Lytechinus pictus: one gene and its partner. The protein of the gene in region 1 interacts with the protein of each later gene in a biochemical or structural test. Links are inferred from orthologs where the notes say so. Each region holds a gene or a part of one and is shown on either strand. Other genes may lie near its edges.

What was found.
Region 2: the proteins of E3 ubiquitin-protein ligase RFWD3-like (region 1) and replication protein A 32 kDa subunit-B-like form a complex in vitro, tested with the Homo sapiens proteins (3 studies listed by BioGRID, with this or other methods). The link is inferred for Lytechinus pictus from reciprocal best matches to the Homo sapiens genes RFWD3 and RPA2.

The regions. Positions count from the first base shown.
Region 1 is NC_087250.1:13,547,808-13,558,027, reverse strand, and holds the start of E3 ubiquitin-protein ligase RFWD3-like, read left to right. Parts: upstream 1-6,248; 5' UTR 6,249-6,334; intron 6,335-8,627; 5' UTR 8,628-8,648; coding exon 8,649-8,765; intron 8,766-10,105; coding exon 10,106-10,220. UniProt on the Homo sapiens protein: E3 ubiquitin-protein ligase required for the repair of DNA interstrand cross-links (ICL) in response to DNA damage. Plays a key role in RPA-mediated DNA damage signaling and repair.
Region 2 is NC_087261.1:4,469,278-4,479,297, forward strand, and holds the start of replication protein A 32 kDa subunit-B-like, read left to right. Parts: upstream 1-6,028; 5' UTR 6,029-6,207; coding exon 6,208-6,226; intron 6,227-9,233; coding exon 9,234-9,352; intron 9,353-10,020. UniProt on the Homo sapiens protein: As part of the heterotrimeric replication protein A complex (RPA/RP-A), binds and stabilizes single-stranded DNA intermediates that form during DNA replication or upon DNA stress.

The DNA.
Region 1 (10,220 bases):
TGAAGAATGGAAATTTAAGTTAACTTTGTTTTCCGAATAGATAGTAGTAAAAGTCAGAAAACTCACTTAAAATGACAAATTGCTCGTGCAAATGGAAATTTACTGGCACCGGCACTTTCCATTGTTCCAATCACTCAGTCATGCGTGCATTATAAACGTTCACATGGGTCTTCGAGGGGAAGCATATCTTGCCATTGACATACGTACATATCATGAAGCAAATTTATGATTATGATGTCAAAAAATTACACTGAATTACGGGACGTTTCCCTTTTACTGGGACGCACTGTATATACATAATAATGAAAAAGGAGAGACATGCGTTCGTTGCTGGCTATTATAGTATTTTCCCGCGTTTTCTTTGTCGCAGATATGCTTAGCTACTACATGTCCAATGGCAGTGACCCCCCGGCCCCCTGGAACTAACTGCTAAAGAGGTAAAGGACTTAGAAAAAATACAAAAAAAGAGTTTGCAAAATAATTCTTGGTTCAGATTATATAGACTATGAAAATGCACTAACAAAATGTGGATTAGAATGTCTTGAAAGAAGACGAAAAAAACTGTGCATGGAGTTTGCTAAATCTCTTTAAAAAAAAACCCTCAATAACTGGCTACCAAAAAGGAAAAATGTCTCAATCTCATTAAGAGGTGTTCCAAACTTTGCTCAGATAAAATGCAAAACAGATCGTTTTAGAAAATGTGCAATACCATATTTCATTGATTTACTAAATTCTAAATAAATTTTTACTTTCATACCCTTGAAATCAATTCGTATTTTTGCCATTGTTTTAGTCTCCATTTCAATCCAATTGATATTTGAATTTTTAATTGTCTAATATTCATCACTTTTTAAAATTGTATTTACATAAGTTTCTTTTTCCATTCTATTTTATTATATTTAATGAATTTTATGTACACTTGCTCTTTAAAAATTATTTATTATCTATGTACATGTGTTTAAATTGTAATTGTTTGCTTTTATCCGTGACTTGTGAATGTTTTATTGTAAACATGCTAATTTCAGCCTTCTGGCTGTGTAACATGTATTGTTTTTATACGAAATAAACCATGATTGAATTGAATTGAACTGAGTGTAGCCAATTAATAGGGCCAGCATATAATACCTGCCATCTCGGTTCTGTATATAAGTAAACATACCACCTGACAATTTCTTTGATTGTTATGCGGGGACCATATGGGTGACGATCGGTGTTCATGGTTGGTTGGGGTGGCCGGGAACTCGCCATGGCCATACTCAGAATTTGTTTGGGGGGGGGGGGGGGCAAGACGCGTAAAAATTTGAAGAACCTCAAAAACAATTAGGAAGTGTATCGACCGAGCTTGCCTTTGGGGCGCTTTTGCATTTTCTCAAGTGAAATTGAAGGATTTATTAAACACTTTTAATTCATTTTTGTGAAAATTTTCAGTAAAACAAACATTTTTCATAATTTCGGGGGGGGGGGGGGGTACTGCCCCATTTCCCCCCTGTTTTCTTTGAGTTTTTTTTTAAAGACCTTTTAATACAAAAATCTAATTATGAACTAGATTTTGCCATATTAAAAAAACACACACACATATATATACAGAGAGAGAGAGAGAGAGAGAGAGTAATTACAAATATTTAGTAAATGCCGTATATATATATATATATATATATATATATATATATATATATATATATATATATATATGGTCATTTTCAATTCAATATATATAATATTTATGTATAAATGGGTAATAACGCTGAACTTCCTATATGGTTCATTTTCAGGAAATTAAAACAGTTCGCGCTCACATTTGTACGTAGTATCTATATGTAAGCGCGAACTGTTTTTTTTTCAATTTCCTGAAAATGAACCATTTAGGAAGTTCAGCGGTATTACCCATTTATATATATATATATATATATATAAATATATATATAAATATATATATATATATTTATATACATATATACATATATATGTACACAATTTCACCCTTTTCTTCCATGGTCCCCATTAAGCCTCACATCTATACGCCAGCGGGGGGTCCTTATAGGAGTTATAGATTTATTCTACAGCCAGACTATAGATACTACGTACAAATGTAAGCGCGAACTGTTTTTTATTTCCTGAAAATGAACCATTTATAGGAAGTTCAGCCGCGTTATTACCCATTTATACAATCTTTTAAACTGTCATTTCTTTTATAGGCCTATGTTCTCCTCAGACTTATTTTACATCATAAACCGGGATAAAGAATGATAACAAAAAATGAAGTGACATAATTATTATGTCACTTCATTTTTTTTTTATTAGGGGCACACCCAACTCGTGTTGTTGGCTGCTGGGAGGGGTAAGATAAACATGAACATGCTGGCCCGAATTCACAAAGGTGGTTTTGAAAACCCACGGTTGAGTCCATGGTTTATGTAGATTTCCTGTATAAATTACGCTCAATTTAGCGCGTATCGGGCGCGTGTATAAAAAATGTCCAATTCCGATGCGCGCTTTTGTCACAGTGCGCCAAATTGACGCCTGTTACCATGGTTAGATACGCTATTTTATTCATGAGTCCACTGTTTGAAGAGTGGACTCATGAATAAAAACAGTGGACTCATGAATAAAATAGCGTATCTAACCATGGTAACAGGCGTCAATTTGGCGCACTGTGACAAAAGCGCGCATCGGAATTGGACATTTTTTATACACGCGCCAGATACGCGCTAAATTAAGCGTAATTTATACAGGAAATCTACATAAACCATGGACTCAACCGTGGGTTTTCAAAACCACCTTTGTGAATTCGGGCCGCTAAGTTCTATTTCATCCTGGATATTTTCCCCTCGAGGCCTATCTGTTTCTAAAACTATATTTCAAAGGAATTGTTTCATTCAATTACAATATTGTGTGAAAAGCTTTGCATTTGTTCAGTAATCATATTTGCATCCGTATGATTTCTTTTGTTCTCTTTTTATTTCCTGTAATACATATATGTACGCATATAAGAATAAGTCTACTATACTTTCTTCATTTCCAAGGGGAATCCACACTTTACAAGCTTTGCTTTTTAGTGGATCCCCTCATTTCCATTTATGCTCTATATTATACTGTTTTTTCTGTGTTTTTTTACGAAGTAAGAATGCCCTTCTGTAAAATTGTACTTGATTTGTATTACTTTATATTACTTTGTATTATGTTTTGAATGGAAATGAAATAAAAGAATTGAATTGAATATAGGCCTACATAGGAAATTTTAGAGAGAAAAAAAAACAAAATGAAGGTCGTATCATGCGTATTATACGACGATCGATATTACCATTACGCTCCGTCAGTATTGTATTCCTTGTATCACGATCATATATACTTGTAATATGATTCATAGTAATCATTATGATGTTCGCCCGGGGGGGGGGGGGTGGCAGTCAAATGTATTGCTGTACACCTGCGTGACCAAATTATTTCCAAACACCTCCTAAACGAGTTTTTTTTCTCTGTGTGCAAGTTAACCCCCTAATCAAGTTTTTCGCGGGATTTTATTTTGGCCCCTAGTTATAAAACAAATTGCCGCGTGGACAGAGAGGTGACAAATTTCATGACCGTTTTCCCGTGTCCCGGGAAGACCGTCACGAACACTTTTCAGAAACGAGGAGGAAAAAGACCCGGGGAAAAGCGGGGGAAAAAGCTTGGGGAAAAACATACCCTAAACACGTTTGGCTAGTCTAAAAAAAAACGTAGCTTTGGAAAATACCTTAAATACGTTTGACGCGATTGATTATTGACAAGTCTTTCAAAACCACCTTTAAAAAAAATCGGTGTTTTTGATACCCGTAACGAGTGCACGCATGGCCCACGTCTAAAACTGAAAAAAACCACCCCTAAATGGTTTTTTTTTGTACAGCAATATATTATGCATAATTATGTTCGACCGCAATTTTTTTTTTATGGGGGGATGAGAACACATGCCACCCCCCACCTGAAGCCTTATAGGGGAGTACTAACCCCATGCACTCCTCGATCGTGATCGATACCCATATGGATGCCCGGGGGGGCCACTTACATTGACGAGTGGATACCATGCGCGACCAAAAAAACACGTAAAAAGGATGTCTTTTTCAAGATAGGGTACGTTACGTACGTAACGTGATAAGGGTGTCAAAAACACAAAAATAATGAAAAAAGGGTATCTATTTCGCTAGGAAAGCTACGTGTTTAAGGTCATATTTGGGGGAATGATAAAACAAAATTAAAATGTTTTATAAAGGATGTCCTTTTTGCCCCAACACTACGTGTTTAGAGTCCGATTTGCGCGAGGTGTGGAAGCTGGGGCCGTACTAAACCAAATGGTGTGTAAACTGTAAAGGTAAAACCGACGACCGATGGACTCGTGACATAACAATCAAATATCGCTGTATACTTGTTTAGGGATTCATTTCAGGGAATACTTGCCAAGAGTATCGTTTTGTTTCCAATACTTGTTAAGGGTAGGGTTTCAGACGCCAATACTTGTTAAGGGGTGCATTTTCAGAATTTGGAAAATACGTGTTTAGTGTGCTTTTCGAGACCCCATGGTCGCGCATGGTATCCACTCGTCAATGGAAGTGGCCCCCCCCCCCCGGGTATGGATGAGTCCCTTAATTATGGAAACACCCAAATATGATTAAGATCACCGTGATAATCATCATTACTACAATTATTATTATTATCACTATAATGATGATCATCATCATCCGTATCGTAATATAATATTAATGTATTATGCATGTTTTACTTAAAAAAGATAAAGCTAAGGATCGACTATAAATTGGCTTCTTATGTGGGTTGCTGATAGGGCAGTCAGCTATAGTAGACAATATAATGGTCCATTTATATAGCGCAGCTATTATAATTGCATATACTGATCTTGATTCTTGGTATATTATGACCCCGGCTGTACAGTAGCTGAGCCGCCACGGGCCTATATAGGCGCTAAAGCATTCAAGTTAGGAATAAATCCTACCGGGTACCCATTCACCTCACCTGGGTCGAGTGCAGCACAATGTGCTGGGTAAATTTCTTGCTAAAGGAAAACACGCCACAGGCTGGGATTCGAACCCACTCGTCAGGCCACACATCCTTATAAGTCGAGTGTCGTAACCACTAGAATACGACGCCCACAGTAGGCCTATTGAAGACTTGTGTAATTCATGATTGTGTAACGTAGGCCTACGTGTTGCTGAGGACTTGTACTGGCAGTTGCATATATTTATAATATTTTTTATGCGTATGGAAGAGAAACATAACACAGTGGAGGCAGCAATAATTTTGAAATTTTTTGAAAACTTAAAAAAATATAACTGAATTAAGCTGAATAAGCATCCTACTCAAGCTGTTTTAAAGTAGGCATACCTCAATACAACATTTTCACTCATAAAATTTTACAAATTTTCTCATCCATGCAGTCACTGTTAGCACAAATCTTTCGAGTCATACAACATTCAAAATTTAGCTGGCGCTTCGTGCACGCAGTGGCGGTGCATTGGTTAATAAAATCTGTTTAATTGGATAACAAAGGGGCTAAAAAGGCCAGTGTTTAAGCGCAATATGCACAAATTATTCTTCATGTGATTCAAGTTTTCATTATTTGTTTTAGTGAGATACGCATCCTGCTTACAAAAAAGTGATAAAAATTAAAAAAATATTTTTAAAAAAACTCTCGCGCTACGCCTCGCATCAATAACTATAGTACCCTTCCTATATAAAAAAGTGATTAAAGTTTCATCATCTGCTTTAATCTTCAAAGGGCTCTGCAGCCTATCTCGAAGATGAAACATCAACAAGGAGGCTGCAGTGATCACTTTTTCCTGTCGGTGACTGGTTATATTGATCGACACTTCCTGAATATATGATCAGCATAATGACCTTGTCTAGAATGTTATATGCTCTCTGACTGACCTTCCCGATATATTTATCATCTCACGATATTCAGCTCGCGCTTCACGCTCGCATTACTTATTTGGGGAGATACCTATAATCTCAATCGGTCAGGTCCCTTTTCAAGTCAGTAGGGACTATGATTTTGAAATTTTAACTCGCGCTTCGCGCTCGATTTTGGGAACATCACAGACAAAAAAAAATCATGTCTGCCTTTGTCCCCCCCTAGTTTAAAATCTCGATGCTGCCACTGACATAACATCTTATGGAAGACTGGGGCCCATTTGTAAAATTACAGGATATTTAGTAAATTATAAAATTCCACTGTGAGTTTCGTTTTGAAAAGTGGAAGCACTGCGCGCGCCCTCTATTATCGAGCGCGCGCCTGATTATGAAATCGCATCTTCTCTGCATCATTTCGTGTTAATTTAGGATTACAGTAAGTTAGATTATTACTATTTTTTTATCTTAAAAAGTGAATACATATGTGAATTAGGCACAGTGTGTTTTTGATACGGAAGTATTTTGAAGCTGGTGTTGAAACATAAAACCAATTTGAAATCTTAATTTTGAATGATGGTCTGATTTTGACTTTGTCTCGGCACTCTGTCTCTGCCAGTGCCCTGCTTCGGCTCTGGCCCGTCTGGCACTGACCTCGCCTTTGGCTTCCTCTCCCAGGCCGGGCCGGGGGCAGTGGCGCTAGCTTAGCGAGCGCTATGCTGGCGCTGGTGCCCCATCGCGGAGCGGAGCTGGAGACGTTCGAGAGCTGGCAGCCGTCTGTTTGGAAGAGTCTTCAATAAAAAAAAAATTAAGCCATTGGAGCTGAGTGCAGTGGAACAATCAACTAGTAAGAGAGACCAAACATGCAGAGGGACAGGGGACAAATGCAATGCTCAAAACTAGCAGTACGGCAGTAGCACTGCCTGGCCTGGAAACGAAAAGTTATACTTTGTCTTTGTCCTTGTTTAAGTTAAACAAGAACTTAGTCTTAGAACTAGAAGGAGCCGTGGGAGTCTGAGTATCAAGACTCCAGAGGCATACGCCCATCGTATGGACCACAGTCATCAGTAGAGGCGCACGGCCAATATTGGAGACTATCTCTAATGAGTAATGTGGCAGATTATCTCCAATATCAGAGACTTTTGTAAAGAATTTTGGTAGGCCTATCCAATTTTTAGAGACAGTCTCCAGTTTTGGAGCACTCCTAGTACCAATGAGGTCCAACATTACATGTATGGACCTCATAGGCGACATCAGTAGTATTTTTGGTTAGAAATCTCTGAGAACAGGATATTTATATTATTATATCACAAGTACAAGCTATATTCCTTTCTCTTATTTAAATTATAATTTTATAGTGTAAATGCATCGTTAGCAAAAAAAAAAAAATGAAAGAAATGAAGGGGAACTTACATTTTCACGGCTTTTTCCTGATTTTCTGGGCAGCTGCTCTTCTCTTCTGACTCGCGATCGAAGCTGATATGAAGATCACGTGATTCGCGTTCTCGTCAGCTGATCGGTTGGTTATTCTTTTCGTCAGACGTTAATAATATATATTTTATAATGCTAGCATTCATCGCTAATTTAGGTGAAAGAGATTGAAGTTAAACAGCGCCAGGTCGGAATCATAATTATTTTGGAAGAGTGTATTTATACACTCGATCTCATACCTGACGTAGACGGCGCTATTCAACAAATGCACAATCTTCAATATAAAAAATAAAACAGAAAGAACGCCTTGAACACAGGCCAAAATGCCTAACGATTTCTCCGCGGCATTAACAACTATCGTAAAGGGCGCTCCATTTATCAATAAAGATGGATGCTAAGCTGTCTATGGCGACAAAATTTGCCGCAAATATTTACGAAGAATTGTGAGAAATGGTCTGAAAATGCAACAAAAGAACCGGTGAGTACCGATTAAACATTATTAAAGTTGTAAATAGATTATACATACCTTGTAGATTTAGTTTTTAAGGTGATATTAGTGCTTAGTTCTAAGCTAGGGAGGCCCAAACGCGCGTGAGTGGAGTCCCAGTTTATTAGCACGGGTAAGTATTGGGGTGTCGCCTAGAGTGTTTTGGAGTCCAATTTCCTTTGTTTACATTTGCTGCAAAAGGATTACCTTGGCGGCAAATAAAAATGTGATAAGCAGATTCTTCATGAAAAATTACCCCTTTTCACCGACACCGTCTACTTTAAAAATTCACTGTCTACTTTTGTTTTGATAAGGATTTTTGTTGTCAATCACACACAAAACAAATGGGCTTCTGACCCCAGTGAGACAAAATTTTGGGTGGAAAAAATCATGCTTTTGTTGGTGTTGTTTCTTTTGTCCTTTTGCAAAGCAAGTCTCCAATGTGGGAGATTGTCTCCCCTATTGGAGAGAGTCTCCCATATTGGCCGTGCGCCTCTACTGGTCATGACAGTGCCAGTGGTGATGCAGTCTTAAACTTAATTTAATTATAAAGCTTATCCAATGTTGCAGATTTAATTGGGTAGATCTAGTACAGAGTAGAGCCCATATGGCCATAACCTTGTTCATTGAATGAGTGCTAGAGCCTAACTTCTAAGACTAAGTTAAAGGAAGCCCCCAAAATAATTGTTTTTTTGCAGAGCTCGAAAGACAAAGGGAATTCCCCATCTTAATGTCGTGCAGAACGAACCAAAGACTTTGTTTCTTGTGCATGTGCATCCGTTTAATTTTACATTTGATCTTCTCTTTAATACAGGTTATGATTGATTGATGACCAATGGATCACGGTGATTCTGATGAAGATGATAATGGTTCGACCATCCTCATCGAAAGTGATCAAGATCTATATGATTCAGATGCTACAGAAATATCACAGGATCATGAACACCATCAGGTTTGCATAACATTTTCAATATTGAAAGAAAAAAAAATATACGGAGAGAGTGAATTAAGAGAGAAAGAGAGAGAGAAGGGGGGGACGCAAAAATGGCACTCCTTGCAAAGCAGGGAAAGAATTACACCGGAGCTGGCCAGTAGGTGATGTGGAGTTGCCCTTGAAATGCTTAAAAGAGAAACTAAAAAAAAAAAACCCATTCATCTGATGAAGCTTATCCAATGTTGCAGATTTTGACATGGAATTCAGTGAAATTTGTTCGCTTGCCAAACATCGTAAACTTTACTATCTTCAAAAATATAAATACTGCCATGACGAATTTCGTATCAAATGAAAGAGCGTATTAAGCTCTTTCACATGATTGGGATGCTGTTGGGATTTAAGTATATTTTAAGTGAAATTTCCTTTGAAGAAAAAAAGTAATATTCATGCCAAATGTATTCTATTATTATATTTTCAAACATTGTTTCATAGAAATATATAAATGTCAAATATATGCTTGATATTACATTTTCTATCTGTCACCACTGAACAAAAAAGTTTGTGTTGAGAAGTTAGAAGCACAAATATGAAATGTTTTTATCAAGTTTTTATTTCTAATTTGTCTAAAATATGAAAAATTTCGGGGAAAAAATGACACCTAAATATTATTCAGCTCCTGATGACAAAGCAGTGCAATGAAGGGGCATGACATACTCATTTGTTCAATTCAAATTCGTCATGATAGCACAAATATTTTATAAGATAAAGTCATTTTATGTTTGGCAAGTGTCAACTTTTCTTTGAAATTTTCTGAGTGTATGTAAATTTCTGGCCTCAACTGTACATGTATGTAGAGCCTTGTCAATCTCTAAGTCTAATGGTTCACAATCACAGTACGGTAATCACTGATTTTTTTTTGAAAGGTACTCTACTAGGGCCAAGGTTGGACATATATGCTAATATATATTCTGTGGAATAAACTACATCAAAGACACACATTTCTGTGTGAAAACAAATCTTCTGGTTCTGTTATAGCCATTTTCTGAGATTTCTCTTGACTCAAATTTGACAAATTTTAGAGGTACATGTAATGGTTCTTGCCAAAATTGGCATTGTCTCACCCCTTTCATCAGTGCCTTTAAATGTTGTCAGAATTTTGGGAACAACAAGCAGATTTTGCCTTTTTTGTGAAGGAAAATATGATTTTTGTTGTTGTTGCTTGTCAAGGAATTCTGAAATGCTGTTTGTACTCCCTCATTTATGAAATCTCTGATCCCCCATTGGTTAACATATGTTTACACTGTACGTGCATTATCTTTGTGAAAGCGGTCCTCTTATATTATTTGTTACCCATGCAGGAACAAGAGGGAGGTTTATCACCGACAAGACTTGGGCAGGAAGAGGGACGTGATTCATCCCATCCCGCTGACCCTACTCAAGATCAAGGTCAAGGGTCGCAATCAGACAGCGAAT
Region 2 (10,020 bases), on another chromosome or scaffold:
TCATTTATATTTCACGATATTAAAATATGGTAGATCTACTAATTTTGGCCAAATCGTGGTTTCAGGAACCGCTTGTCAATTTTTATGCGCGCACTTCTGTAAAAATGAATGGAGGTGGAAATAGGGAAATGTGCGTTTGACTGAACTGAATAAAGCACTGCTGTAAAGTTAGCCCTGTAAATGTAATATTGTACGAAGTGAACGGTAATTCGTAATTTCATAATCATGATAATTCAATGCCCTAATTTCATACTTTTACCATTTACAAAGTAGCTTGCCTTACAGACCAAACACGGAAATTGTCACACTTGCATTTTCCACATTAATCATTCTCAAGAGTAAAAACTGTAAACTATTTATATTGTCAACCATAACGACAAAGGCAACACACACAGTACAGTCAGGCCACACAGCTCAGACACAGTCACAGTACAAGGGCAAGGCAAGCGCTACTGGCACTGCTAGTGCAGGGCAGTGCATGCAATCCAATGCAATCGCGAAAGAGCGAAAGGCGCCACGAAAGTCGAAGAGAAAGACATATGAATACCGGTTTCCTACAAATATTCAATATTTCACACAGTGCATTCTCAAAAGCATTGAAAGATCACAACAAAATCACAAAATCAACTTATGCAGATATAAACAAAAAGTTTTAAAGTCCAAATCAAACAATACTTACAACTCGTTGCTGGCCACACCGCAGTGATCGTCATTGAATGAAAACATAAACGCCGGTTTCCAATAATGGTGGCCACGCGATACAGTGCAGTGCACAATACAGAAGTACGATACTTTCCTCATCAGGGCTTGTTACACAGTCAATAGTAATTGATCAAAGGATTGATTTTTACAATTGATCATACGCAATAATCAATGACATTAATGATCGATACCAACCTACAATCAATTATTAAAATTTCATGTAACAGGGCCCTAATCCTGCGCGCTCTTTTAGTATTTCTTCCTCGATTTTTATCTAATTATTTGTTCCCTTAATTCTTTGAGTTTGATGTATTAAAGGAATGCGATAACTATAATGTTCATGTACTAGATATAGTTCACTATGGAAATGAAGTGGTATCACTAGCTGTTTATTGTGGCCTATATGTTCATTAATTGAGAAAAACTCTGGGAAAAACTTGAATCTTTTGAATTTTTTTCTCGCTCGCTTTGCTCGCTCAGGACTTTAAGACCTTGCTCACGCCATGTTAATTGTGCCCCCTCATTTTTCAAAACCCATTAGGCCTGATCTATAGCTATATCGCTGATCTGTAATTTAAATAACAGGTAAAAAAATTCTCAGGGGCCCAGGCGACTTCGCCCCCAAAATAAGAGCCCTAGCTTGGCCATTAAATAAGGGAGCGGAAGAAAAAATAAAGGAAGAATTAGAACTATTGCCAAGGAAAAAGGAATGACTATGAAGGGAATATCATTGGCATGATATGAGCCAAAAGTTTTGAGGGGGCGCCAGACGTGCAAAATTGGCAAAAAGTTGCAATCGAGCGAAGACATTTTTTTGACAAAAATCTAATTTTGTGATAGATTTTGATATAACGTTCAGAAAATGATATTACATTTCACCCTTCTCTCTATTATTTTCTTGATCGTGAAAAATGTGGGGGTCTATGGCCCCAGCCCCCAACACCATCTTTGCGCCAGGTGGGGGAAATGGAAAGGAAGCTAAAATAATAAATTTACAAACAAAAACTTTAGCTCGGTTTCTTGCTCCGCACTAATTAATATTCATCTGTAAATTAGATTATGAGGATAACATGATGCTCAAAATGTTCGGGCAGGTCTGAATTTATTTGCCCTCCTAAAAGATTATTTAGCAGGGGCCACGGAAGCGGGGGGCTGGGGGTGCTTCAGCCCCCCACTTTTTTCCAAAACCATGTACAAAAACGTAAAAATGACCATATGATTGTGATTTTTTGGCTCAGCCCCCCCCCCCCCCCCCCCCACTTTGAAAACCGTTCCGCGGCCCTGTTTATGCATAACGGTTCTTTTCAGAAATTAGCAGGCGCTTCGCGGTCGCATTATTCACTTAGTTAGATAAATGACAAAAAGTGCTTATACTGGAGTAACTGAACCCAATGATCGAAGATCAGCTCGCCATTCGAGCTCTCATTGATCATGTTGTCTTTGTCTCATTGTTCTATTTTTTGTGATGAGGGCTACACGTGCAAGTGAAATTAATTGATTTCTGTTTGTATTCATGGATTATTCATCCATTATATTGTACAAATTTTGTCACGATAATAGGCCTACAATATAATTATTTTCGTTCATTTATCATATTGATGTGTATTTCATTTTGTACATGTATGAGAAATTGTAATTATCTCGATAAGGGTTCAATTGAGATCGAGGGTGAAAAAAGGGTTTCCCATAAGAGTCCTTATCTTTGTCCTTTTTGTGGAGCGTTGTGGTCTAGTGGATTAGTCTTCGGACTTTGAAACACCGGGGTCGTGGGTTCGAATCCTAGCTATGACTGGCCCTGGGAAGCGGGGTGGTGAATTAGTACCCCAAAAGTTTCCTTGGTGGTGCTGCGTGTATTATTTTTCACACTCAGCACCCCCGGGTATTCTTGAAGATTTGTAAACATGGAAAAATGTACCAAAAATGCCCCCTTATTATTTTAGTGAAAACTTTTTTGGGGGGCAAAACCTTTTTTCCACTTTCTTTTCAAATTTACATCACCCCCCCCTCCTGTAAAAAAAATCGTTCCCACGCAGGGCCCTGATGGCTATAATATGGCGTAATTTTCCTTCAACAAGAAATGTATTCACAATGTGCTGTACTCAACCCAGGTGAGGTTAATTGGCAGTTAAGACAATAATCTCAAATAATTGTGAGCACCGGAATCGGTAGACGAGCTTGGCCGGGGTTATAGGACCATAGGCGGCAGAAGGGGGGGGGGCGGGGGTCGTGTCCCCCCTAGATTTGAGGTGGGGGACCCCCCCCCATACAATTTCTGTTGATCCGAAACTTGTCAATAAGCTTGTCAATTTTTTCAAAAATTTCAGGTGGACCCCCTAAATTTGTTTGCTTCCGCCGCCAATGGTTAGGACGAGCGCCTTATTGAGTACGTACTAATTAGTATAGTAAGTACCAATCATGGTCGGCAAGTGGGCCGATATACCGAAAAGGTGACATGGCCTATATTATTGTTGTTTTCGGGTTCAGAAAGAACCAAATTCATTGTACAGTTGTAGGCCTTTATTGTTCACTGACTTTGTTTATAGTGACTTAGATCTAAATTCCTACACATCGATATAGTCCCCCTATATGATAGTCCTTAATCCTTGAATCATAGAAAAGGTAGCCTCAAAGGCCTTCATATTAATTTCTAGCGAACAATATTTATCTTTTTGAAGGTCTTTTTTCTTATCTGTTCGTTTCCTAATTCCCTTTCTCCGTCCTCCCCCCCCCCCCAATATTTCAAATATCATGATTGACCGGTGGCCGACCCTAGCTTGTGTATAGCACCCACTGATCTATATCACATAGAAAAACATAACTAATTTTTATCAGAAATATCTTGTTTTGTTGGAAATTATAGGAATGAAAAAAAATAATAATAGCCTTTACTTTTTTTTGTTCTTTCTCATTGATTATTATGGCTTACTATTACATGTATTATTGTTTTGTCATGTTTTTAGATGTGTGTTTATACAGGTCTCCTTGGTCGAGCAGTTTTTATAATTGAAAGGGGTTCTCTGTTTAATAAAACGACAAATAAAACAAACATTGTCCTCCTATATCCACCTCTTAGGCTGTTCTGTATTTTATACAACTCTCCCCTTTCCCCCCATATTCTTTTCTTCGCCTCTCCGTTTCCCTTCCTCTCTTTCTCTTTAATTTCTCCCCTCTCTCTCTGCCTCTCTCTCCCTCTCTCTATCTCACTTCTTTGTCTCACTTTCGATTTCAATATATTAATTGGAAATATATTTGACCCTCTCCCTGCATGTCCCGCGGCCTTATTTTTATTTCTTCCTCTCTTTCCATTCTTTGCCTTCCGTTCATCATCTCTCCTTTCTCCGATTTCCCCCTTTTTATCGAGGCGGGGGGGGGGGGGGGCGGGGCTATGGGACCCCTTTGGTGCCAATAGTTGGGCAATGACGCCTATGCTCACGGCCCACTTTTTTACTTGACATTTTTTTTTCGGCGCACCCCGACGTGGGCATATTAATATGACCTGTAGCTCAGAAACTTGGCGTCCAGGGCAGCTTAGGTGCTTATATAATATTGCCCCCTCCACATAAATAATTATTATAAGGTAGCTAGCTGCAAGTAAGAGTTAAAAGTCTTTAGATAACTTTTTCTACCTATTTGGCTTTCTTTTCCAGGGCGGTTTTTTTGCATGTGCCCTGAGGGCCGTGCGATTTTTTTTACTGGGGGTGCTGATGTAAATTTGAAAAGAAAGAAAGAAAGAAAGAAAAAAGGATTCAATACAAAATGGAAGTCAAATTGGTCCCGATCGAGAAATTTGAAAACAATACAATAAAAACAAACAAGGGGTTTCACTACACTAAAAATCAAGGTCACTTTGGTTACATTTTTCAATTTTGTTCACATATCAGCTTCCAGAATACCTGGGGAAGCTGCCTATGAAGAATTATACACGCAACACCCCAAAATAATTTTTTGGGTGCTTAATAAGCACGTAAGTACCCCGGCAGGCTGCAGGGCCATGCCTGTGCCCCTATTGCTTGCACTTTGCCCATCCCGGGCCCATCTCGCCCCATCGGTGAAATGAGCGAAAACTTTTGAGGGGGTCGATCTGCAGACATGGCAGAATTTCTGAGAAGCTGGAAGGGGCGAAGCGATCGATGGAAAACACACACACACACTCACACACTTGTCTTTGTGATAATAATTTTGTGACAGATTTGGACAAAACAACTTTCCTCCCCGCGCTCTCTCTCTCTCTCTATCAAAATATATGTCTTTTTGTAAACGAAAACCAAGATTTATATTTTGGGCAATTTTATACATTGTATGATTTCCGGATTCTAGACTTCTAATAGCTAGGAGTACACCGGGGGGGGGGGGGGGGGGGCACTCACTAATGCATAGTGGGTATGTGCCGCGGAGGGGACCCCCATTTTTAAACTCAAATTTCCGTTCCAGGGCATAGCATTTTCATCTTATTAAGAAAAAGAACTATAAGAAAGCCGCTCCGAAAAGCATAGCATTTTCTTCTTATCGAGAGAAAAGAAAAGAAGAAAGAAATCCGCTACAAAGCTTCGCATATTTTTCGTTACGCCGTTCCGGTCGCATTGATCCGCCACAATGAGCTGCCATTTTGGTGAAAAGCGGCCGCTGAGCGCTGTCCGACCATCGCCTCTGCGCGAACCCGTTCCAATTAAGGACCCCCGTTTTCACAAGCATTTGTAGTTCCGAAGCCCGCTCCGAGGACCCTCCTTTTTACAATAAGTCCGCTCCAAGGTCCCCGGTTTTTGTCTCGCCCGCGGCACACACCTACCAATTTTTTGGTCGAGCGCCCCCCCCCCCCGGGGAGTACACCAGATATTTCAACCCTAGCTAGGCTACACGTACGTAATAGGCCTATGCCCCCCCATATTTCGTTATTCAAATTTACTTCATCAGGGGCCGCGGAACGGTTTTCAAAGTGGGGGGGGGGGGGGCTGACCATGCAAAAAATCACAATCGTATGGTCATTTTTACGTTTTTGTACACGGTTTTGGATTTAAAAAATGGGGGAGGGCGGGCTGAAGCCCATGCACCCCCCCCCCCCCCCCCGCGGCCCCTGTTCATGAATATCCATCTTAAATGTACGGTATGTCATTAGTAAACGCATACAAAGAACTGGCTTCTACCTCCATGGTTTTACCCAACGCTGGAGAAAAAACAAAATAAAAACAAACAAACAAAATCCCGAGGTGATTCCCCGGGTGATTTCTCATGACTTCCTTGTCTTGCTCAACCGGCCGTGCATAAAGCATGCAGTGGGTGATTCGCGTTCGTAGCAGGCCGATTTCGCTCGCTTCATGTATTCCCGATATACAACAAGCCCTCTGATTGGTCAATACCAAGATTCTGGCGCGCCGTCTCCAAATTGTACTTGTGAACGGGTACGGTTCTGTGAATGTAAATTGCAACCACACTGTTTCCAATCGGAAAAAGAAGAGTTCCTTCTCTGTAAATAATTATTAATATTTGGATCGAGACTTCTCTTCGAATATGTTCAACAACCAAGGAGGTAATTACACCGTCGGCCTTAATTCATAATTATCGTGAAATATATCTTAATTCTTATCTCTCCTCTCGTGATCGAGTCTGTCAATTGAAATTTGAATGTGCAGTCGTGTGTGTGAGTGTGTGTGCTCTCACTTAGACTTAGTTAGAGAGCTTAGACTTTAGACTTAAGAGTTTTAACGTTAGACTGAGACTGAGTAAAAATGATTGGCATTATCGTGAAATTGGGAACCAGTTCCTAATTTCCACAGGACACTTTTTCACGACAAGACATGACCCACCTATCTTTTCGAGCTTGCTCACTGCTTCACCGCAGCTCAGCTGGCGCGCTGATTCTAAATAAATCGAATCCTTCAAAGAGCTTAACGTTAGTGACTTAGTCTACTCTTACTATTTTAGTTAGATCAGAAAGATTGATTTCGTCGCTGTCTTTTCTCTACTCGCCAAAATGGGAACCAGCGTGGAAAACTCCCCCATAGAGTTGTACACGCTGGTTCCCATTTTAGCGAGTAGAGTAAACAAGTTTACTCGCTGAAATGGGAACCAGCGTGTACAACTCTATGGGGAGTTTTCCATAGAGTTGTAGGCGCTGGTTCCCATTTTAGCGAGTAGAGTAAACTAGCTTACTCTACTCGCCAAAATGGGAACCAGCGTGGAAAATTCTCCATAGAGTTGTACACGCTGGTTCCCATTTCAGCGAGTAGATAAAGACAGATTACTAGTGATATTTATTTCGTTAGTGATGATTCTCTGACGAAATAAATCTGACTAATAAACTGTCTTTATCTACTCGTGAAAATGGGAACCAGCATGTATAATTCAGGAGAATTTTCTTAGATGGTTCCCATTTTGAAGAGTAGATAATATATAAAGAGAGATTGCCAATGAGATTTATTTCGTCAGTGATGATTCTGACGAAATAAATCTGACTAATAAACTGTCTTTATCTACTCGTGAAAATGGAAACCAGCATGTATAATTCAGGAGAATTTTCTTAGATGGTTCCCATTTTAAAGTGTAGATTAAACTAGTTTACTCTACTTGCTGAAATGGGAACCAGTGCGTACAACGCTATGGGGAATTTTCCATAGAGTTGTACACGCTAGTTCCCATTTCAGCGAGTAGAGTAAACTAGTTTAATCTACTTGCCAAAATGGGAACCAGCGTGAAAAATTCTCCATAGAGTTGTACACGCTGGTTCCCATTTCAGCGAGTAGATAAATACAGATTACTAGTAAACTGTCTTTATCTACTCGTGAAAATGGGAACCAGCTATGCTGGTTCCCATTTTGCTGGTTCCCATTTTCACGAGTAGATATAGAGTTTATTAAAGTGATTCATCCCCATATATATCTTGTTTGTGATTTTTAGTAAATCAATTTTGTAATCATTTTTTTTCAACATTGTGAAAGTGGCAGAGTGGTCTTGAAGAGCAGGGAAATGCGGGGTAGATGGATATAATTACAAAAATTATAATTCAGCGGAATCATCGATGTCATCTGAAAACTTGTCCACCCATGGGTAACTGAGCCCGATAAATATCGCATGAGGAAAGAGGTTACCAGTTGTGTGAGGAGCTTCGCATCGTCAACAAAGCCTCTCGCATCAATTCTTTTCAAAATCGCTGAAGCGAAGTTTCTTTACATGTCGTGGTAAAAGGAGGTACAAATTCGATTTGGTGACCAGTTCCCAAAAGCACGGAATGGCCAAATGATTTACTAACGTATGCCCCCGAGATTTCTACTTTCCTTCTAAAAGATCAAGTTAGCCCTAAGTCATGTACATGGGATACAACTTCATTTCCGACATTTCTACGATATTGATTTCATTTTTAAACAATTCAAGACAAAAAACAAGAAAAATGTAATAAAAGACAGAAAACTTGCCACCGTGTTTACGTCGCCTTCTTGATTTCATTGTCTTTCGCTTGGCGACAGTACACAAATCGCGCGGTTTGCTACACAAAGCCAGGAGGCTTCTAGAGATTAAAATCATTTACTAACGTATGCTTAAAAAAATGAAAAGTCGGGGGAGACTCGCCCGATGTTTACGCCGCCATCTTGTTTCCTATATTGTTCTTCCCCAACTTTACAGACACGCGCGTCAGTAAAAATAGATTACGTCAAGTGACCTCAATTCCCCACAGTTCACTATCTATTTTCCCCTGTAAACTGGGACGATCCCAATTTTCTGACCACGCCTCTACTGGCTACCTCACCCTCTTTGATTAGAGTCTGCTGCTTGAATCCCCCTCTTGATAGGGGAAACAGCACGCCAGAATAGTGAAAAGGGAGAGAGTTCTTAAGTCTTATTGAATCTGGGAAGAAGCTCAACTGGGCGTTGTTGCGTGTGCCTGTAATCCAAGCTACAAATTAGTTACAAATTGATGCATAGGTTCGAGGTTTGAGCCCTGGTCACGTCTTTCGGATGGTGACGTTAAGGTCGGTCCCAGACGCAAATAATCATATCTGATAGATACATGTCTGACAAAACTCAAATGCACACACACACACACGCTCTGGTAGACAAGTGTTCTGGCAAAGGGAGCAAAGCTCTTCTGAGAATGACCTCTATGCAACGATGTGGATAAGCTTTAGATTGAAGAATAATTATTACCTGTTGACTGTTGTGAACATGAATGTTTCAGCTCTTGGCTGCTCATCATAAATCATGTAAATTCTGAATGCACAAAAATTGTAAACCTCTACTCCAATAATAGCTGTAGTACCTAGTAATAATCCTCCTTGTCACATGACACTAGTAGTTGTATGTTACCCCAGCTAAGCTACATTTTATCTACAAAATCCAGGTGAACAGCTTTTTGAGGAATTCCTGTCTACCCATTTTACTCACCTAGGTTGAATGCGGCACATTGTGGATCAATTTCTTGCTGAAGAAATTACCTCATTGCTGGGATTCAAACCCATGACCCTCTGTCTCAAAGTGTGAAGACTAATCCAACAAAATGTTCCACAATTTGTAATTATTTTGTCTTTTACTTTTTTTGTCAGGTTTTGATGGATATGGTAATGACCATGGTGGAATGGGTGGAGGTGGATTTAATTCCCCAGGAGGATTCAACACACCAGGAGGATTTAACTCACCAGGAGTTGGATCATCACAGACTAAGGTATAAATAATTATATAATATGACTGGCTTTGAGGGGAATATCAAATATATGGCCCACAATATAATAATATTGACTTGAGTCTATAGTTGAGGGCAATGTGGTTCTTTTAATTGCAATATATTTGATGTTCCCTGAAAGAATAGAGAATCCATATTTTTATTATCATCTATTAATCGGACATCGAGAGAACAATTCATGAAAATTGAGAAATTTCTTTTAAGAGTATGGTTCTTTTGTGTCATGTTTATGTCAGGGGCTTAAGGCTCTGCACTTTACCATTATGACGTACTTGCAATTATAAGATCGCGTCCCTAGGGTAAAAGGATGCATATCCAGCGTCCGGATCCAGTGTTGACTTTATTGTTGCTGCGCGGATCATTACAAAGTGTATAATCTCTTTCTATGCATCCTCATATGCCCGAATAGGAGACCAGGGAAAATAAAAAGGTACATTTTGTGTCGTCTCTGCATGCAAAGTCAATAAGGGCATAGAAACTGAGCAAAATACGTATACCTATCCCTTCCTGATATTCACAAAATCTAGGGCAATACACTGTTGTAAATGACCAACTCAAATGTCTGATACATAATAATTCTTATATACCAAGGGTAGCCACTTCAGCTCTTATAAACTATCCCAACATTCCCTGCATAACATGTAATAAAT